Arabidopsis thaliana: one gene and its partners. The protein of the gene in region 1 interacts with the protein of each later gene in a pairwise test. Each region holds a gene or a part of one and is shown in the gene's direction. Other genes may lie near its edges. The genes, in order: BMY2, TRY, CPL3 and DBP1.

The links.
Region 2: the proteins of BMY2 (region 1) and TRY interact in a two-hybrid assay, tested with the Arabidopsis thaliana proteins (one large-scale study listed by BioGRID).
Region 3: the proteins of BMY2 (region 1) and CPL3 interact in a two-hybrid assay, tested with the Arabidopsis thaliana proteins (one large-scale study listed by BioGRID).
Region 4: the proteins of BMY2 (region 1) and DBP1 interact in a two-hybrid assay, tested with the Arabidopsis thaliana proteins (one large-scale study listed by BioGRID).

The regions. Positions count from the first base shown.
Region 1 is NC_003076.8:18,351,106-18,357,830, forward strand, and holds BMY2 (beta-amylase 2), read left to right. Parts: upstream 1-2,419; 5' UTR 2,420-2,488; coding exon 2,489-3,007; intron 3,008-3,180; coding exon 3,181-3,408; intron 3,409-3,492; coding exon 3,493-3,573; intron 3,574-3,716; coding exon 3,717-3,920; intron 3,921-4,043; coding exon 4,044-4,238; intron 4,239-4,359; coding exon 4,360-4,524; intron 4,525-4,613; coding exon 4,614-4,874; intron 4,875-4,955; coding exon 4,956-5,168; intron 5,169-5,256; coding exon 5,257-5,476; intron 5,477-5,565; coding exon 5,566-5,591; 3' UTR 5,592-5,783; downstream 5,784-6,725. Other genes in the region: AT5G45290 (RING/U-box superfamily protein), read right to left, coding at 1-712, 787-987.
Region 2 is NC_003076.8:21,580,307-21,585,547, forward strand, and holds TRY (Homeodomain-like superfamily protein), read left to right. Parts: upstream 1-2,307; 5' UTR 2,308-2,606; coding exon 2,607-2,670; intron 2,671-2,963; coding exon 2,964-3,051; intron 3,052-3,485; coding exon 3,486-3,654; 3' UTR 3,655-3,937; downstream 3,938-5,241. UniProt on the Arabidopsis thaliana protein: Transcription factor. Involved in epidermal cell fate specification. Negative regulator of trichome development, including endoreplication, by lateral inhibition involving intercellular interactions.
Region 3 is NC_003075.7:458,298-462,478, forward strand, and holds CPL3 (CAPRICE-like MYB3), read left to right. Parts: upstream 1-2,181; 5' UTR 2,182-2,236; coding exon 2,237-2,300; intron 2,301-2,398; coding exon 2,399-2,492; intron 2,493-2,594; coding exon 2,595-2,670; 3' UTR 2,671-2,777; downstream 2,778-4,181. Other genes in the region: GT72B1 (UDP-Glycosyltransferase superfamily protein), read right to left, coding at 3,561-4,181. UniProt on the Arabidopsis thaliana protein: MYB-type transcription factor involved in epidermal cell fate specification. Acts as a negative regulator of trichome development, including endoreplication, by mediating lateral inhibition.
Region 4 is NC_003071.7:10,902,216-10,908,253, reverse strand, and holds DBP1 (DNA-binding protein phosphatase 1), read left to right. Parts: upstream 1-2,986; 5' UTR 2,987-3,275; coding exon 3,276-3,458; intron 3,459-3,674; coding exon 3,675-3,881; intron 3,882-3,992; coding exon 3,993-4,204; intron 4,205-4,523; coding exon 4,524-5,100; 3' UTR 5,101-5,259; exon of another isoform or gene 5,260-5,377; 3' UTR 5,378-5,538; downstream 5,539-6,038. Other genes in the region: AT2G25625 (histone deacetylase-like protein), read right to left, coding at 1,155-1,512, 1,592-1,692; AT2G25610 (ATPase, F0/V0 complex, subunit C protein), read left to right, coding at 5,613-5,881, 5,969-6,038.

The DNA.
Region 1 (6,725 bases):
CAGAGAAGAGATCAGTATCTTCTTCTCCCTGATGTGGCGAGGGACGGAATGCGAAATCAGAGAGTGAAGATCGGCGAAGAACTCTATCACGGAGTCTTCCAACACTCAGAGTTCTACTAAATCTAACATTGCGCTCAATAGAAGGTTCTCGTACAACATGTCTTCTATCAAGAAGTCCAGCATAAGTACTATCCATACCATTAACTACTCTCGGAGAACGTAAGCTACCATCTTCCCCAAATCTCATGGCATCAATATCTCTAACTACATTGTCAATCACAGGAATTCTCGGAGACTCAACTCTATCATTGAGCCTAATAGCAGATTCTGAAGGTGAAGTAACACCATCTTCTCTATGAGAAGAAGAGACTGGATAAGTCGTGTTGAAGGATCTTGAACTTGAAGCTCTGCTAAGTCTAGAGCTTATGTTACCAGGAATGAATTTGAAATGCGAAAAAACTCGACCTGGAGTAGAAGATTCTTGAATCGAACCGCTAACATTTCTCATCTGTACATTGCTTACACTAGCTTCCTCTTCTTCTTCTTCAACACCACACTCATCATCAAGCTCAAGCTCATCACAATGTCTTTCGTTTTCAGATTTCTTATCATCTTTCAATTCTTTATCATAGCAATCTGATGCATCTCTTCTCGATTCCATTCTACGCCGTGTAACACTTCCATGACTCTTCCTCATCCATCCATTACACACCTGAAGAAATCAAAACTCATGAACTTGACCTAATTTCAGATTTGACCAAAATAAATTAAATATCAAAACCAGACCTGTTCATCATTATCATCATCACTGTAATGAGAAGTAGAAGATGAAGCAAGACAAGAAGAGTGAAGACCACAAAAAAGACTCTTTGATCTTCTTCTCCTTCCACCACCACTAGAAGACGACGGAGGAGGTTGAGCCACGTCAGAAGCTTCTCTCGCCATCGCCGACGAGCCTAGACATGATTTGCTCCGGCCAGATCCCATCTTCTTCTCAAAAGCAAACAACTTTCTGCTAAAATTACATCATTGACACAAGACCCACAAGTCTTTTCCCCATCTTCTTCAAATCCACCAATCGAAGAAACCTCCAAGTCAAAATCTAAAGATCGAAACTTTTTCCTCAGATCTTTACATTGAAACCCGAATTCGTCATTGACAATGCAGAATCAAAAGCCCTAATTATTGAATCCCCAGATCTGAAACTCGATCGAGATTGCAAGAATACCTCGAAATCTGAACTTTTTTTATTGCGAGAAATTAATGTAGGAACTAAGCTATGTGTGTTGTCTTTGAATCAAAGAGAAATGCTTTGAAGAAAAGGAAAGATTTTTAGGTGATCGGAGTAATCGAAGAAGGAGACAAAGCACCTATCTGCGATAGAGAGAGAGACTTTTACGGGAAGAGTGTGTCTTGATGTTCGAACGAGAGGGAACAAAAAACCAAACTCACCATTTCTTTATTTTTCTTTCTTTTCTTTTTCAAACTATTATAACATTCTTTTGTTTTCGTTCGATTTTTTAATCTTTTTTGCAATCATAATTGGACTTCATTGAGGACTATAATTGAGAAAAAAGCTTTGAAATGGTCATTGAACAGTGATCACTTAGATGAAAAATAGTTGTAACCAAACCAAACTAGAATATTCAAACTATACTCAAAACTGAAATTTTGTTGACAAAGCCTTTTGGTTTTATAAATTGCGAAGCAGAAATACAAAATCGAACCAAAATCGAACCAAAATCGAATCTATATTCTCAAAAATTAAAATATAATTGAACTACACTAACTTCAAAGAAAGAAAGAAAAAAGATATATTAAAAATAGAAAAAAAAAATGAGTTGAAAAAAGTAAATCACAATAAACTAAAATATACAAATCATTTTTTTTTATGAAGTGATTGTTTTCAGTATTTTACAATTTAGATATAGTGGCATTCTAGCTTCAGAAGATTTTTGTTGGACCGGCCCTGTAAAGTCGATTTAAAGACCAAACAAAAACTAATTTTAACATGATAAAATCGAATCAAATAAACGGAAATTCATTAACATTTTATTTATAATTATAATGTTAATTTTACTAAAACCTACCTAAAATAAAAACCTGAGTCAAAATATGTAAACTAATTTTAACATGATTTTGGTTTGATTTACTAAACCAAAATCAAATCAAAAGACAAATTATGTATTTATGTTATTCAGTTTTTCTTTTCTAAACTAATAAAACCATGAAAAAAAGGATTGGAAACAAAACCGTAAAACCCATCGTGTCATTCCTAACAAACCCATCAGTAATTCAGTATCACTTTGTCAAAACTGGTCACATTGGCTATTGTTGAACAAAAAAAAAAGAGAGGTTTTTGACCAAAAAAAAAAAAAAAAAAGGAGGGGTTAATATTGACGATTTTGATAATGAGAGACTTTTAACGTAATTTATAATAATTACCGACGTTGATTTGTAAATCCATAAAGTTACAAAAAAATCTCAAATGTGGGAACAGCACAGAAGCGAGCAACTTCACCGCACAAAAATGCATACTCTCAACAACACCATCACCACCACCACCGGTTCGCAAGATCCGAATCTCGACCCAATTCCAGACCCGGATCAATTTCCCAACCGGAACCGCAACCAACCACAATCTCGCCGCCCTCGCGGATTCGCCGCTGCAGCAGCAGCAGCGTCGATAGCTCCAACGGAAAACGATGTAAACAACGGAAACATCGCCGGAATCGGCGGTGGAGAAGGAAGCAGCGGCGGCGGAGGAGGTGGAGGAGGGAAAGGGAAGAGAGAGAGGGAGAAGGAAAAAGAGAGAACGAAGCTTAGAGAAAGACATAGACGAGCAATCACTAGTAGAATGCTCGCCGGATTAAGACAGTACGGTAATTTTCCGTTACCGGCGCGTGCTGATATGAATGACGTAATCGCTGCTTTGGCTCGTGAAGCTGGTTGGAGTGTTGAAGCCGATGGTACTACTTATCGGCAATCACAGCAACCAAATCATGTGGTTCAAACTTCGAAACTCTCTCTCTCAAAATTCAAACTTTCATATTAAGCTATTTAAGTTAGGGTTTAGTGGAAAGATGATAAATTTGATCCCAAATATGTGTGAAGCTCTTAAAGTTATAAGCTTTGTTCTGTTATTAATGTAACATAGATTGTTTAATATTATTGGATTAGGTACAGTTTCCGACGAGATCTATTGAGAGTCCACTTTCTTCTAGTACATTGAAGAACTGTGCTAAGGCTGCAATTGAATCTCAGCAGCATTCAGTTCTTAGGAACGATGAGAAACTTGCTCCTGTGTCTCTTGATTCTATTGGTATTGCCGAGAGTGATCATCCCGGGAATGGAAGGTATACTAGTGTTAGTCCTATCACCTCCGTTGGATGCTTGGAAGCCAATCAGGTGAATGATAAATTCATTTCCTTATTAGGAGAATTGACTTTAAGCTGGACGTTGTTTCATCTAACCACTTTGTTTTTCTTTCAGCTTATACAAGATGTTCATTCCGCAGAGCAATGTAATGACTTCACAGAGAGCTTTTATGTCCCTGTGTACGCCATGCTTCCAGTGAGCTTCTGATGAGAGAACTTTGTGTTTTAAGTGTATATATATGGATGTTGCCCAATAAAAAAGAGTGTACATATATTTCTTACCAGTTTTGCCGCGATCCTTAGTTTTCCTGTGCTAAAGTTCTGTACCTTGTCTTTCAGGTTGGCATTATAGACAACTTTGGCCAGTTGGTTGATCCTGAAGGTGTAAGACAAGAATTAAGTTACATGAAGTCATTAAATGTCGATGGAGTAGTAATAGATTGTTGGTGGGGAATAGTTGAAGGATGGAACCCTCAGAAATATGTATGGTCTGGCTATAGGGAGCTCTTTAACCTTATCAGAGACTTCAAACTTAAGCTACAGGTGTGAATATTTTTACTTGTAGAGCTTTGTTAAATACATCCTATGTGACCAAACTGTGACTTTCCCTATAAAGGACCGTCTTTTTCATAATATCTTAGCAATCAGTATATGGTTTGTTTGAAGGTGGTGATGGCATTTCATGAGTATGGAGGGAATGCATCTGGGAATGTGATGATTTCGTTGCCACAGTGGGTGTTGAAGATTGGGAAAGACAATCCAGACATTTTTTTCACTGATCGTGAAGGAAGAAGAAGTTTCGAGTGTTTGAATTGGAGCATTGACAAGGAACGGGTATTGCATGGACGAACTGGTATAGAGGTACTCAAAGAACACTCATTGCTCAGAAATTGTTCAGTATTTTGGTATATTATGTCTCATTTCCTCCTCTTTTGTACTGTCTAGATTCTTATTTCTTCCTTTTCAACACTTGATTATCCAGGTCTATTTTGATTTTATGAGAAGCTTCCGGTCAGAGTTTGATGACTTGTTTGTGGAAGGACTAATTACTGCGGTTGAGATTGGTCTTGGAGCTTCTGGTGAACTAAAGTACCCATCTTTCCCAGAAAGGATGGGTTGGATTTATCCCGGTATCGGTGAGTTTCAGGTATTTTTCAGATTGCTGAACTTTACTTCTACGTTCTAACTTATGACTAGTGAAGTTAACATATCAATTTACTATTTTTCCTATTGCAGTGTTATGACAAATATTCGCAATTGAGTCTGCAAAAGGAAGCAAAGTCACGAGGATTCACTTTCTGGGGTAAAGGACCAGAGAATGCTGGTCAATACAGTTCTCATCCACATGAAACTGTGTTCTTCCAAGAAAGAGGTGAATATGACAGCTATTATGGCCGCTTCTTCTTAAATTGGTACTCACAATTGCTAATTGGTCATGCTGAGAATGTTCTGTCTCTTGCAAATCTCGCATTTGAGGAGACGAAGATTATTGTCAAGGTATAATCCTTTTGGCACTTATCCTTCAAACCCAGTGATGCCTATAACAATGAGACTCATACACCAAAAACAACAATGCAGATACCGGCAATATACTGGTCATACAAGACAGCTAGTCATGCTGCTGAATTAACTGCAGGATACTACAACCCTTCAAACCGTGATGGGTACTCTCTTGTTTTCGAAACTCTGAAGAAATATTCCGTGACTGTGAAGTTTGTGTGCCCTGGGCCACAAATGTCTCCCAATGCGCATGAAGAAGCATTAGCTGATCCAGAAGGTTTAAGTTGGCAGGTAATGACACTTTTTATTGATGACTATAGCTTTTTTTACTTCTCAGCAAATGTAATCTTAACCCTAAAGTTTTGGTTATTTGTGGCAGGTGATCAACGCAGCTTGGGATAAGGGACTTCAAATCGGTGGAGAGAATGCGATTACTTGTTTCGACAGAGATGGTTGTATGAGATTAATCGATATAGCTAAACCAAGAAACCATCCAGATGGCTATCACTTCTCCTTCTTCACATATCGTCAACCTTCTCCTCTGGTTCAAGGATCTACTTGCTTTCCAGATTTGGACTACTTCATTAAACGCATGCATGGTAAGATTTACCCGCACGCTTGATTGTGCCTTCCCTTTAGATTCGTTGTCAAAATCTTTGTTCTTACAACTATATTTGTTTCTTTGCAGGCGACATAAGAGATAAACAGTTTTAGGATTTGCATGGTCTTAGGATTCTTTTAGTAAGTGTCTTTTGTTTAAAACTTCAAAATCTGTTTTGTTTTGTTTATTCTCTCCTCAAGGCCTATATTTAAGACGATTGATCTTGTAATCTTTAAACACCTTAACACTTCACTAGTTGAAGATGAACTAACTAATTAAATTCTTAAATGCATTCTAATCCGACTCGCGTAAAGTAGACACTTGTTTAGTTTTATTTTGAAAAATACAAGAAGGTATTGATGTCTAATGAATACAACCGAAAAGTGTTGCCTAACTCTTATACCTTTTTGTCTAAATTATTCTTAGAATAACCTTTTTGACTATATATGCCCGAATCCGATTACATTAATGGTATTAATAATTTTTGTTCAAAGTTACATTTTTCTTTTGTATCATTCAAATAATATTCTGATAAAATCCTGATTTTTCATGATTGTATTTGACATTTTAGATCCAACCAAATCTTTGAAGAACAAATAAAGAGGGGAAAAAAAGACCAACATGTCCTTTTGCATTCAGTGTTAATTCATGGACAATATAATGTTGGTCCGTACGAAAATTTGATTTTGTATCTAAAGAAGCATAAGAAATAGGGTTAGTTAACCACAACGAACAAAGCCTCTATTATACATATCTAAATGTGGGATAATGAGGCAAAATGTCCAATATGATTAATGAAAAAGATGGAAAAAAAGTCTTAGGTGGTGTGTGATTTAAACTGTGTTTTAATTACTTTAAATGATATGAAAAATCTGTTATTATTTAATCAAGATTCTATTAAATTCTGTTAAAGTTTTTTTTTTAGTAGTAGAGGGGAAACAACCGTCTCCCGCAATTTATTGAAACTGAAAAGAAATTACAAAACGGTAGGCGGGTGAGCCTCGGAAACGCAGTTCCTCGGACATCCTCCCTTACAATCTCCTCCACCAATGAGGGAGCTAAATCAAACTAATGAATACCTAAAGATAGATTAAAAGCATAGTTCGCTAACCCGTCTGCAAGGCTGTTAGCCTCCCTATATACATACGGTTAGCTTCTCTGTTTTAGTTTGATGTTATTAGTTTTTGATTTATTAAAAAATCTTTAAAACTCTTAATAAATTTGGATTTATTGGAATTATATTTTAA
Region 2 (5,241 bases), 3.2 Mb from region 1:
AATATACTCAATTCGTATATAACGCTTTTCCAACTGAAAGCAGCAGAAACATTCATTGGACCACCTTAAATGTTGTCAACAATGTTGTTAACCAATCAAAACATCTACAGTTCAACAAGTTTTATTATTTGATTCGAGCTTTTACTTTGTGGGGTTTAAATTAATATTTTAATGACCCAGGTTTAATAAAATATAAAATACTCCTATATACATGCATGTATGGGGGCACTCGTATAATATGTGTAATCATTCGATACGTTACAAATAAATATATGTTTATTTAGGCCTAAGAATGTTAGTTGAATTGATCTACCAACAGCTGCAACCATGTTTCAAATCGGTTCAATATTTCTTTTCTTTCTCTTATAACTTTCTTATTAACTACAAAAATATTCCTTAATAGCAGTTCTTTTACGAGTAATCTATCTTCTTTTCTTGTGTAATATCAAATTTATTGTTCAACCAAAAAGAATAATTTGTACAAGAGTTTTAATTTTAATTAAAGTGGAAAGAGAAATGGATAGTGATTGCTATTATGAAAAATCTTTCTAGGAGGCAACATGTCACATCTTTGTTGTTGTTGATATAATCAAATAATAGAAAAGGTAATCACATCTTTGTCCTTTTGTACCAGAATTTTAGACATTAGTTTAGCTATGCAAACCAATTTCGTTCTTTTAGCTCCAAACTAAAGACACATTTTCATTGATGCATTCTTCGATATCGAATTGATTTGTTTATCAAAAGTTTATGAAAATCATTTATATTGCTATATTGTATTTAAGCTTCGAGTAAAGAGATATTTTACCAACTAGGCTTCCTATTAAAAAAATTCCAAATCTATCACATAATACACAGTTTCTATGCAATGAGGATGATGCGATATACATCACATGACTCGCCTCACACGATGTCTTTCGCCGTAGACTACAGATTTCTTCCGTTTAATCTTTTATCCAATTATGAATTATCTGGTAGGGTACTTTATATTTTGAAAATCTCTTTCGTGAGAATATGATAGTAATTGTATACTTTCTTACAAAATTTATTGAGAAGCGTACTTTATATATGATGTTTCTCACTCGAATTAAATACGTTAGTTTAATGGGTCGATTCAGATTTATAATAGATTTAAATATTTCGAAGAAAACGCAAATCAGGGATTTTGGTTGTATCATGTGTGAGAGATTGAATTTCTCCAGAAGCACTCATTAAATCGCGTGTGTAAGGAGTTGCCATACAGCGTCGTATGTAATGTCTTAGTCACTGTTCTAGAATTAAAACATATGTCAAATGTAGAATTAAAAAACAGGGGTTAAAATGTTAAATTATTCGGAGAAGTGGAATTATTATATTAAAAACATTGTGTGATTTTGGGATAAAATCTGAATCATGTTTTTTATTGTGCCAAAAAATTTCTGTTTCAACCTCTTCGTGGAGATGAAAGAAAAGTCAATCGGGAATGAGACTTCTTGTATAACGAATGAAAATATGAACATGTTGATTAATGAATTAATTAACATACGTACTATATTAAGTGGGAATATTAGGTATAGGCCTTCGATTTTCCGTTTTGTTTGGTTTTTTCGATTTTAATAATATTTCTCTAAATTAAAATAAATTTTAGTTTGGTTTATTTAAAATATTAATAAAATAATATAAATAACTATCTAATTAATATATTAAAAAGTATTTTCTATATATATTGATATAAATATTATTCCCATGTTTTATATTGGGTGACGTTATCTTTTAAGTAAAGTTGTAAGATATCTAACTTATTCCTACATTATAATAACTATCAAAATAAAATAACTAATTGTAGTGACAATGATGACTATCAAAATATGTATGTGTTTTGGCTCAAACATAGCGTTTAATAACAAACACAATGGACAATTTTAATAAATTTGATCGATTAGATTTTGTTTCATTTTCATGCACTAGATTAAGGTTCGAATTAGATTCATTTTAGTGTATATAGTGAAACTAATTTGTTACTATATGGAAAAAAAAATAAGTTTATTTTTGGTTCAAGAATTTTTATTCGGTACGGTTTGGTGTGTATGTCCAACCCTGAAAAAAAAACTTGAAAAACTAATAACCTAATAACAACTAATTTTCTTAGAAATACAAATTGGACTTGAATACAAAAATGGAAAGAACAACAACAAATCAATAACTAAAACATCGTTGAACTTGCATCTGCCAAATAAAAATCAATAAATCCCATTATTCTAAAAAGATAGTAGGTTTAGAAAAATTGAATAAATGGAAAAAAAAAATTGTTAGGATCTACGAATGAGAACAAAGTTAGCCTTCAAAATACTTACAAATCCCAATAAAAGACTTCATCTCCATGTGTATTTGAGTGTCAACGACAAGTCTACACAAAGGGTAAGAGGTCAACAAGACCACACAACACTTCTTACTATTAGTTTTGCAAAGGCCGTTCGTTGGACATTTCCTTCTCTCTCCTCCCCTCTTCTTCTTCTTGTTCGCTCTATAAACTCTCATCTCTCACGTCTTTTTTTCCTTACATTCTCCAAACTCAAAATTTCATCACATTAATTTCTCTCTATTTTTCTTTTCTTACTTCAATAGTAATGGATAACACTGACCGTCGTCGCCGTCGTAAGCAACACAAAATCGCCCTCCATGACTCTGAAGGTACCTCTCTATTCTCTATATATTTTCTATTTCCTAAATCCAATTTTATTAAACATCTTGAAAATAAATTTAGTTCCTAGCTAGGATCATATTCTCTTTGTATATATTCGTTAAAACGAGGGATACGTTTAATTACTTCTAAATTAGTTACACCTCGTGCTGACTAAAAGACTTATCAAGATTAGTTTCTAGTTTTAACAAAAATTAATATCTTTTTAAAAAGTTTATATTTGTCTTTTTTTGTTAGTTTAATATTGTTTTGAGTTTAATTGGTTTAATATTGTTATTTGCAGAAGTGAGCAGTATCGAATGGGAGTTTATCAACATGACTGAACAAGAAGAAGATCTCATCTTTCGAATGTACAGACTTGTCGGTGATAGGTAACAATTTCTTCTTCTTCTACTTTTTCTAAGATTATCCCAGCATAAAATAAATTTTATATTTTAGACATGTCTAGCTAAAACAATTTAATATGCAGGTATATACAATTTTACATACGTTAATTTAAGCATATGTACTTTATAACATATGTACAGTGTACCATGTTGTAGGGGAAGCACATGGTGTCCACTAATTTTCTAAAAAAAGACATTTAATTAAAGCTATCACGTTCATTAAATTATATATGTACACACATATATATAGAGATAAAAATAAGAACCTAATTTACTATTCTTATCAGTACGTACTCATGTATATAAATGCTTGGCTGGCTCAAAAATGGAAATTTTTGAACTGACAAATTATATTTTATTATGAAAATATAAATGCTAATGCTTGGGATAAAAATGTTTTTTTTTTTCTTTTGAATTAGGTGGGATTTGATAGCAGGAAGAGTTCCTGGAAGACAACCAGAGGAGATAGAGAGATATTGGATAATGAGAAACAGTGAAGGCTTTGCTGATAAACGACGCCAGCTTCACTCATCTTCCCACAAACATACCAAGCCTCACCGTCCTCGCTTTTCTATCTATCCTTCCTAGTGTTTTTGTTTTTAAGCCAACGAAAAAAGAAAATAAAAAAATTATAATAGATGTATAGTAGTGGTTCTTGTTAGTTTGAAGAATTCATCATCTATTGTTTTCTTTTTGTTGTTATTTCATTTATAATTTTTATAGTATAGGTTTCATTTGGTAATCAACTTTAATCCATGCGGTTAGGTTTTTTTATTTTCTCGTCTACGACTTTTATATCCACAACTAGATTTTAATCCGCGGTATATCGCGGTATAATTTACTTTTTAAAGTTAATATATATTAAAACTTGCAAATTTTATTTTTATAAAATATTTTTATTTTACAGTTTATAATTGTTATTAAGTAACGCTATACAACGAATCCATGAGACAATTGTTAAAAAACTGAAGTTTTAACCCTTACTAAAACAGCATATTAATAATATTTTAAAAATTTATAAATATTGATTCAAATACATCCACCATATAACTCAATTCCAAAATAAAATCTGTTCTGTAATTTCTTTACCCATCCCGTGATTTATTTTTAAAGTAGTAATTTTAAAAATTTGAGAATTATTTATTACATATAAAAGTTTTACAAATTGTATCATTCTCTAATACATTTATATTTTATAGTTTAATTTTATATATAGTAACATTTTATATTTTATATTCTCTAATATATTTTATATTCTCTAATACATCAGTAATTAGAAAGTAAAAAAAATTGTGTATTAGATTTAGTCCTTTGAAAGAACTTATCAAGAGGAAACTGATCATTTGTGCAAAAATGGTTGGGTAATATTTTAACTAATGACAATAATTTTAAATAGTAAAAAAAAAAAAAGAAATACTCCATTAGTTATAGTTGACTAGTATATTTTGAAGAAACTACTTAAAAAAATTATTACAGAATTAATGACATAATGTATCTATACTTTAAAAAAAATGTAACTAAAATAAAAACCCCGATCCAATTCTAACCAAAAGTTATGAACACTTATTTTCACAATCACTTAAATATTAGGTGTTACATGCTTGCACTAGCTATATATATGTAGGACTATGAAGTATGAAGTATGAACTTAATTTTTCTATAAACGTTTTAAGAAATAAAGAATCTATATATAGTATTGCCTTTCATACAAAAAATTATCAGTTTGAAAACTTTCTACCAACACGATAAAAAGTACTATATGAGATCATCCTAAACGTCTATTTAAAAAACGTGATTCTCATTGGTAAACGACTAATGAACGGACGGTTTGCGTCTAAAACTAACTTTTCATGGACAGGATTTAACGGATAGAATTTTCCATTATATGATTTTCATGATTACGAACCAAACGATTCAATTCTTCAGCTATATGTCGTTTCACATAAACTCACAAATCACAATCTTAGTTAAAGCTTTTAGGCCCAATAGTGTCCCAATTATTTTAGCCCATTATTTAACAAGGTACGACAGATTATCAACGTCACTCGACCAATACAAGTAAAGGTAAAACTATGGGCCGATAAAAAATGCCCAATTTCAGTTTTTACAGCCCAGTTGTAAGTTCACCAGTAGTGGATACACTGCGTTAGGACTATCCATTTCAGAGAATGTATT
Region 3 (4,181 bases), on another chromosome or scaffold:
TAGATGCTACTTTGTGTCGAATCTGAGATAAGTGGACTTTGTTTTGTTTTTCTCCCTTTATACCACCATTGAGTTCAAACAAGAGTCTGTCATCGCGTTAAAGGGGATCAGAAGCTGTGTGAGGGGTGTATTGGACGAAATAAAAGTTGTGGGGAAATTTCCAAATATCTTGTGATTACTGGATCTTGTGGGATAGATCTCTTTCTTTCTCTTATTCTGGATTCCCTATACATAACAAAAAGGTTAAATGGGGTAATGAAAAGTGTGACATATACTTAGCATAAACCAATGTGTAGAATAATCCATGTTTCCTTTATTAAGTGCTATGCGTTAATCGGCATCTATAAAGTGTTGCATTGATGAACAAAGTGGATGCCTAAACTAGACGTTTAACTAAATGTTTAGAATGAAATCTTCATCTCATCTAAAAAGTGTTGCATTGATGTAAAAAGTGGATGCCCATTAGTTCTTGGCTTTGAAATGTTTTTAGAATGAAATCTTCATCAATCTCCATATGTGGTTCAATCCACTCATTTTATCTTTTGTTAAAGATGTTCTTCAGGCCAATATAATGATGACCATGGATGGTTTGCAACTCGCATATAACACTTCTTTATCCGATGGTTACAAGTATTACATGGCTATAGATAGCTTTTGCATGCAACAAATTATCTATCAAAGTTTATGCATCCTCTAAAATATGGTCATTGGCAAGCCACTAAACGTATATATTGTGACAATGTATGATGATATATTTTTATGTGTTGACTCCGTTTTTCATTAAGTAATGAAACATGTTGCTCTAGATTACCATTTTAATCGCAAACATATATGTTGCTCTACCACGCATTGCATCAAATGATAAGCTTGAGGACGCTTCGACAAAAACATATTTCTCCTTCTTCTTACTGAACCAAATGACAATTGACAAACCCCATTAATAAAATCGGTTAGTGTTAATGTGTCACTCATAATATTAACTTAGTAAAGAACAAGACCACATTAATTAAATCAGGTGTTAGTCTGAGAATATACGTTTCTCTTCCTCATTCCAAACTTAAATTCGGAATTTACTGAGAATATATTGTTAGCACTGAAAAAGGTTAAGTTGAAAGTTTGCTAGGGATGGCAATTAAATATAGTCTTGCCTTGGGGATATTCCCTTCGTGGACTTGTAAGTTTATTTATAGGTCCTCTTATGTATATATAGATGATCTAACGATCGATATACTATGAAAAAAGTTGTTACTAGATTTTATTGCAGGTAATAGTGTTGAATAACCCGAACCAATAAAGCAGTTGTAACGAACACACGACACGTTGCTTACTGCGAGGACCACTTTGTTTTTTGTTTTTTTTGGCTTTAAGCCAATTTAGGACCAAATTTGCATGATTGAGGATGCAAGTATCCAACCCATTTTCATCTTTCGTAGTGACACTCATTTACTTTTGTGATGGACACGTTATAGTATATCTTAAATATTAAAGAGACATGATTGGGGGATCATTGTTTTAATTTAAATAATGTAGATTCTATTCTTTTCATGGTATTAATCCAATTTATAGAAAGTTATGTGTTATTAGCAATTAAGCTAAATGATGAAAACAATCAGTTTAGTGAAACAAACTCGCCGAGAAAACATGAATGGTTGAAAATATTATTGTGTTTTACAAACGTACACGAGGACAATAGTTTTGTAAGTTTTTCTTAGGCATTGAAAAATGTTTGATACAAAAAGTAATGTTAAAATAATTAAAAATGATTTTGTCTTAATATATCCAAAATTTCAATCTATTATGAACAAAGGGAGTATAATTTCTGATTGAATGAACTGGAATAGCAATCAGAAAAGCTTTGAAAACAATTGTTGTTGATTATTAATGATCTTAATTAACGGCATGTATCAATATTTATACAACTTATGTTCCAGTCCAAGCCATCACAACGGAGTAAATGAAGTCACGGGTACTTGTGGTTTTTATTGGTTGCAAACTTGCAACTTGCAAAGATAGCTAACAATAATTAATATAATTAATGAGAACAAAACCAATTTAGTAAATTAAAATCCTTTAACATAGAAACCGACCAAACCCGTTGGACCGTTGGTTACTTGATTTGGTTAGTTGCTATAAATAGAAATGATGGTTCGTGTGCAACCTTCAAAATACGACCACTCTCTCAGAGTACTCTCTTAGTTTCTTTCTTCTTCTTCTTTGTAATACGGTGCCGTTTGACATGGATAACCATCGCAGGACTAAGCAACCCAAGACCAACTCCATCGTTACTTCTTCTTCTGAAGGTAAGCTGAAAACTTAAACACCTTCGTTTTCTCATTTTTCCATGTTTTTTTATACTTATCTATATATAATGAGAAATCTGAATTTTGGTGATGACAAGGAACAGAAGTGAGTAGTCTTGAGTGGGAAGTTGTGAACATGAGTCAAGAAGAAGAAGATTTGGTCTCTCGAATGCATAAGCTTGTCGGTGACAGGTTTGATCTTTTAACTAATAATGAATACTATTTCGTAGGAAAATAATTTAATTGTAACACCATAGTAAAAGCTGAATTTTGTGTGTTATTATTTGATGAAAGGTGGGAACTGATAGCTGGGAGGATCCCAGGAAGAACCGCTGGAGAAATTGAGAGGTTTTGGGTCATGAAAAATTGAAAAGTGATCAATATATCTCTATAGTTTCACTGATTGTTTCGATTATATTCCGTTGTATTTTAAATTTACCAACTCTGTTATAAGAAGAAAACTTTCTTAAATCCCAAACCATTTAACTCTCAAGAACCATTTATTGTGTGGGCTACGAATATTTGGGCCTTCCAAGCCTAAATTTATTTTTTTGCCATCCTAGTAATTTCTAGAAGCTAAGTCGTAGATGTTGTACGTGGATATTTCATTAATTTCTGCTTAAAGCCTTAAACACTTGACACATGAAAGTGGCAAATAACCTACTTCAAAACAAAACAAAAGTGGAAGTCGTTTTACAAGTCATAAAATGACATGCTGTCTTCAGGTCCCACACATGTTTTCTGTATATTTGTCGTTAACGCTATTTCACCTACTCCACACACACACACTTATTTTCTTGGTCATCCACGTTTTAGACTTTTAGTTTTTCCTTAATCTCTGATCCATAACCACGAAACGGACGATCTTCAATAAAAACCCATAACGTATCTCATTACCAAACAAACATATTGTTGAAATCTATGTGTCTCACTGATGATCTATATATGTAACTCTTGAGATTGCAACAAATGTTTAGAACTTGAACAAACTGTTATTTTTATAAGCCATATATATATTTAACTATTGACGATAGACAATTGATGATTCTCTTGAACAATATTTAACTATATATGCAACATCTTCTTCTAAGCTGATCTTAATTGCAACATCTTCTACGAATTAATCAAAAGCCAAAAACATATACAAATAAAAGTTGAGACAAACGAAGCAAAGAAAAGTAGAACATACATATACATACAGAAACACATTTGCACAAATCCCACCGTTGATTATACAAATCATATTAGAACATCAAATATTTAGTGGTTGCCATTTTGCTCTAACTCTTTTTTGTGGGCTTTCCACTTTAAGGCCACAAGACTAAGTGCTTTTGTCGAAGTCCCATCATCCTTCAACACCCTACAAGCTGCTTCCTTCAACTCCTTCATCTTGTTCCTCACTCCTTTGCCTTCTTCACCTTCCATCAATCCTTTTACCACTCTAGCCACCTCTTCTCTTCTAACTAACCCATCGTCCCCGGCACGCGGCCTAAGTGCCGCACGAATATCTTCACTCAACAAAACCGCATTCATCTTCTGTTCTGCGTATAATGGCCATGCTATAAGTGGAATACCGCTTACTACACTCTCTAGAGTCGAATTCCATCCACAATGAGTTAAAAATCCTCCCGTGGATGGATGCGCCAAGACTTGGGCTTGTGGAGCCCAAAAAGGGATCACAAAACCTCTTTTTTTAGTCCGCTCTAAAAATCCCGGTGGTAAAAATGTCAATGGATCTGTTTGGCTATGTGAATCAAAATACGACGAATTAGCGATCCCACTAGGACTTCGTATGACCCAAAGAAACCGTTGCTCACTATCTGCAAGACCAAGAGCAAGCTCATTGAGCTGCTCACATGTGAGGGTACCGCCACTACCAAA
Region 4 (6,038 bases), on another chromosome or scaffold:
TATAAATAGAGAAATGTAAGATAGAGATGGTGTAACAAATCTTTTAATTTTTACTTGTCCATAATTAGTGAATAGAAGACTATTGAAATGATCTTATCTAGTTGTCTTTCTAGTAGGAAAAAATTAGAAACACACTTGTAAATATTTTCCTTTTTCTTGTAACTACTTTTTTTATCCAACAATTTTGTAAATTCCCAAAATAATTCAAATAACTCTCTCAAGACTCCATTATAAACTATTCTTTTTTTTGTTAAATCCATTATAAACTATTCACAATGATCTTAACTAGTTATCGTCTTTATGATTTATGTCTCGAGAGAGTTATTTGAAATATCTAAGAAATTTACAAAAAAAAATGTTTTCTGTAAGTTTCAAACTAGTTTTAGAAAATCGTGAGTGTGGATTTGCATAAGATGATCAAGCTGTGTCCATTTTCTTGTTAACGTAGGTCTCTTATTGCAAAACCAATTTTTTCTTCTTCTTCTCTTCATGCTACGAGTCTTTTCTCTCTCGCTAAGGCTAATCTCCCTTTATTCTCTCACCATTCTTGTAAAAGCAAAGAACATGAGCATCAAGAAATTAAATTATTGAAGGTCCGACATGGAAGTGAAATTTGTAGAGTTGTAGTTAAACTTTGAAATACGAGGCCGAAATCAAACTAATCGTTGGAGTGACATAGAGTTGGGCTTCACTTTGGATCGATAATAGGCCAACTCATTTCAGTAGGAAGTACTTGGAGTGTTTTTCTTTTGTACTACACGCATGTACTACTTTTCTTTCATTTCACATCCAATAGAGTACTACTTTAACACACAAAGCTGAAAACTCCCAAAATTTGGTAGGATACAAGATTACAAAACAAAGAAAAAAAGGACGGACCAAAACTAATCGTGCACATAAAGATCTCAATGAATTTAATGAGTTAATTATTTTTATACGGTTCGATTTAAACCAAAAATCAAAAATGGCATCCTCAAAGAAAATTTTGCATGAATTAAAGACCAGTTTGGTTCAATGTTTTGTCATCAGTAACTACACAAACAAATACTTAAAATTTAATATATCTACAATAGTTTTTGTGTGTATTATTTGTTTCTAATTGACTTTTTTTACACCTGCCTAACAATCTCCCTTACACGTAATGAACTTCCAATTTACACGGAGAAACAACCACCCCTGTTGACACGTGTCATCACCACACCGACCGGCGGTGCATCACCCTTAGCTAATCCGGCTAACTCCAAACGTCGATGAGCAGACGGACGAGGAAGATTCTCCGGTACGATGGTCTCTAGCGAGTTCTCAAGCCAAGGCGGACACGTCCTCTTGTCACTCCACCTCCGCGGCGGCACCACACCCGCAGCCATCTCTTCTACCGGCGATTTCACAACCGCAGCTTCCACTGATGCAACATCATTGATCTGAATCCCGCCGATTACGACAGTTGCCGCCACCCCCAAGACAAAAGAACACTTGTTTTTCCGTGGCTCTGTCTCATTTTCTGTTCTCCTACTAAACAATAAAAGAACAAAGATCATTGATATGAAAAATTATCAGGTAAATAATAACTTTTCATGAATAGAAGAGATACCAAGAGATCTTTGACGTTGTCTTGAGCAGTGAAGCTAATGATTGTGCAGAATTTGAATCTAGGGGAGGAAGATTTAGACAGCAGCTTATTCTCCCTGCCATTGTTATTCCTCTGTTTTCGTTTCCTTCTTTTTCTTAAGAATCCACCTAGAACAAATTTTATTTTATTCCTTTCACCTCCAACATATATATAACTACTAACCCATTCTTACTTGGGTCACTCATTTTTTCTTACTATATATGTATCCTCAAATTATTACATTTCATATGCGCATGCAATACAAACCACATCTAAATTTTTCTTCCAATATGTTCTTTCTCTATACTTAACTAAAGCCCAAAGAATGAACTTAACCTAGAAAAGATGGACTTGACCCAATAGCATTGGTCCGTTGGAGATGTTAGGTCCATACTCCATACAAAGACAAATTGAACAAAAGTCGTGAATCTGTTTGCTACGTCTGAATAACAACGTACACGTATCACGCCTTGCGAACAAATTATTTGACAATGATGGCCAATTAGCATGTGTCATCACTTGTTACCACGTCAACAAGGTTCTTGTCGGTCCGTTTAATTAATAGTAACCATCGTTTTCAGGAAAAAAATCCACATAAAAAGTTTCTAATGGCGAAACAATATTCAAATATTTCCTAACAACTACCATGAGACTGATTCTTTTTCTCTTCCGAAAAATTAATGAGACTGAGTCCTAATTTTTCTTATAGTTAATTTGGTGACCATCAAAGAATGTAAAAGTATTTAGGAAACAGCACAAATAATCTGGCAATTACGGTCTACAACATGTTTATTTACTTATTTTTAAATTATAGAAAAATTTAATATTTTAATATCTTATATTTAATGCCCTAAATAACACTAAATCACACATATAAATAGCAGAGATATAAATATAGAAAAACATTCCAAGCATTTTTCAGTACTTAACATTTATACAGAAAAACAATTAAACATTTTTCAGCACTTAATAATTAACATATGTGAGAAATTCATAAACTCTATTAAATATTCATGAAAATAATGTATTTTTAATTTTATAAGTAATATCTCATGTGTCGACTTTTTTTATATAAAAAAGATGTAAAAAAGGTCCCAAGTTACTAAAATTCAATTTTGTCAACTTAACTCAAAATCTTTTTGCTATTAGTCTAAAATTTCAGATTTCCTTTCTTGCTATTTTTCAAAATACTATGTTTACTTCTCATATAAACTGTAAATATATCCCTTTTTTAATAAGAAAAAAAATCTCTCACTTCAAAAACAAAAAGGAAAAAAAAAAGCAAAGAGAAAAAGTAAATAATACGCCGACGTTTCGTGTTTATGTTAAGCTTCCTTTTTCCTTTTTCCTTTTTCTTTTTGCCTTTTAAATAACCGTCGGACTCATATTTCTCGCCTCCGCCGGCGAACAGTTTTATTATCTCTCTCTTTCTGCGTGTTCCAATTTCTTCCACAAAACCCTAATTTTCTCTTAAACCCTGAAATTCGTGTAACCTTTCAACAATCTCTTCAATTTTGTTTTCGATTCTGAATCCATTGTTTACGAATCTCTCATCTAAAGCTACATTCTTCGTTAAATCGTTTTTAATCGACTCGCTCACTCGTGAGTTGACTCGTCAGCTGTTTCCATAATTGCTTATTGAATTTTTATACGATGATGTTTCAATATGGAAGAAACTAGAGGAATTTCTGATCCAGAGAATGGGAGTTCGAGTTACGGCGGTAAACCGCCGAATCCACTCTCCTTCTCTTCTTCCTCCGCCGCTGCTGCCGTTTACAGGCAAACCTTCGACGGCGAGCGATCGTTGGCGCCGTGTAATAAGAGGTCACTGGTTCGACACTCATCTCTCGTAAGATTCGTTTCTCTTCAACTTGATTTGTGGATCAGTTAGGTTTATTTTGTGTATTGAATGATCAATTTAAGTTGAGGTTTTGTAATTATTGCTCTGCTTTTGGATTTGATCATTATTGGTTTCCTAATGTGTATAATTAAGGTAGAAAGTTTCTGTTTTTAATGTGTCATTATGAGATGTTTGAGGTTTTCTGATTGATTTTCATTTTGGTAGGTGAAGACAATGGTGTCAGATATATCTGTTGAGAATGAGTTTACTATAGAGAAGAACAAGTCTGAGTTTGTTCCTGCTACGCGTTCTGGAGCTTGGTCTGATATTGGCTCCAGGTCAAGCATGGAAGATGCTTATCTATGCGTTGATAATTTCATGGATAGCTTTGGCCTTCTGAATTCTGAGGCTGGTCCAAGTGCCTTCTATGGGGTATGTTCTTTCTTCAGTTTTCCTGATTTTTTGTAGATTTGTAGCATAAGCAAACAACTGTGAATGTAGTGAAAATATGGGGATCTCTTATTGAATTTTGTTTGTTATTAGGTATTTGATGGACATGGTGGGAAGCATGCCGCTGAGTTTGCATGTCACCATATACCGAGGTACATTGTTGAAGATCAAGAGTTTCCTAGTGAAATCAATAAGGTGTTATCTTCAGCATTTCTTCAAACAGACACTGCCTTCTTAGAGGCGTGTTCATTGGATGGGAGCCTTGCTTCAGGAACTACTGCTTTGGCAGCTATTCTTTTTGGAAGGTTTGTTGATTCAACTCTTATTATCTTTTAGTTTTGTCTAACCTAAACTCTTACATCTTGGTTATGTTAAAGAAAAACGTGTTTGGGAATAGATGCTTATCCTCAACTGCGTAGTGTGCATAATCTTGACCTTTAACACAATCATGTACAACTAATTCGCCTGTAGATGTATTCTCTGCCCATATGTGCTGCTGCTATAATGTAGTTATTGTCTCATATGGTCTTTGAGTCACGTATATACTTGCTCATTTCATACTCTATTAGTATTCTGGTATGAAACCGTTTGGTACCGTGTTAACATATAGTTTTGTGGTAACAGGTCGTTGGTGGTAGCAAACGCTGGAGATTGCAGAGCAGTCTTATCCCGTCAGGGAAAAGCCATTGAAATGTCAAGAGACCACAAACCCATGAGCAGTAAGGAAAGGAGACGCATTGAAGCATCGGGTGGACATGTATTCGATGGCTATCTAAATGGACAACTTAATGTGGCTCGAGCGCTAGGTGACTTTCATATGGAAGGCATGAAGAAGAAGAAAGATGGTTCTGATTGTGGACCTCTAATTGCAGAGCCTGAGCTCATGACAACAAAACTAACAGAAGAGGATGAGTTCCTTATAATTGGGTGTGACGGGGTTTGGGATGTGTTCATGAGCCAGAATGCTGTAGATTTTGCCAGAAGGAGACTACAGGAGCACAATGACCCGGTCATGTGTAGTAAGGAGCTGGTTGAGGAAGCTTTGAAGAGGAAGAGTGCTGATAATGTGACGGCAGTGGTTGTGTGTCTTCAGCCACAGCCACCACCGAACTTGGTAGCGCCGAGGTTGAGAGTTCACAGAAGCTTCTCGGCGGAGGGTTTAAAAGATTTACAGAGCTACTTGGATGGCTTGGGAAACTAATTGGGGGACATGAGGATGGTGACGAATGATTGATTTCTCTGTTTTTGTTTTGTCTTTTCTTACAATTTTATAGTTTGGGGTTTGGAGGTTTTGTTCTGTTAAATTCTCGCAATTTGAGTAAGTTATAACATGAGGCGGCATACAATAATTTATTGTTTGGTAGGATATATTTTTTTGTCACTTTTGCATAATAATAATTCTGCTTCAGTCTCATTTGTTTTGTAACTAGAAAGTTATTCCAATTCCTGCGTTTACCGAATATGTTGTGTTCTTGCAGAATGACGTATGTTAGATATGCAGTAAACTCGAGGGTCGGCTTTGACCACATCGCCACTTATCGGTTTGCGGATGCTGGAAAAGTCAGTCTAGTGATGAGGCTGAGTGAGCCATCGTCAGTTACTATTTTATCGTGAAACTCTGAACAACGAGATTGTCCCGGATATTCAAATGAGGAACAAGGCCCAATAGTCCGATCAAAGTGGGCTATTCGTATCGCTTACGAGGCCTATACGATGGTAATTGAATTCACGCGCATTCATCAGCGCGTGATTTGGAGTTGCTCAATTTCAGATCGCACAGGCTCTGTTAATCATCTCCTCCTCCGAAAGACAGAGAAAGAGACAAATCAAATTCATTCATATCAAAGAGATAGAGAGAAAATGTCCGGTGTGGCTATTCATGCGAGTTCATGGGGCGCGGCTCTGGTGAGAATCTCCCCGTACACTTTCTCCGCCATCGGAATCGCCATCTCCATCGGCGTCTCTGTTCTTGGTGCTGCCTGGTATAAATCCTTTTCTTCTTCTCCCCATTGATTTGCGAAATCATCATGCTTACGAAAACTATTTTGCTCTCTCTCTTTATGGTTTAGGGGAATTTACATTACCGGAAGTAGTTTGATCGGTGCCGCCATTGAAGCTCCTCGAATCACTTCCAAGAAT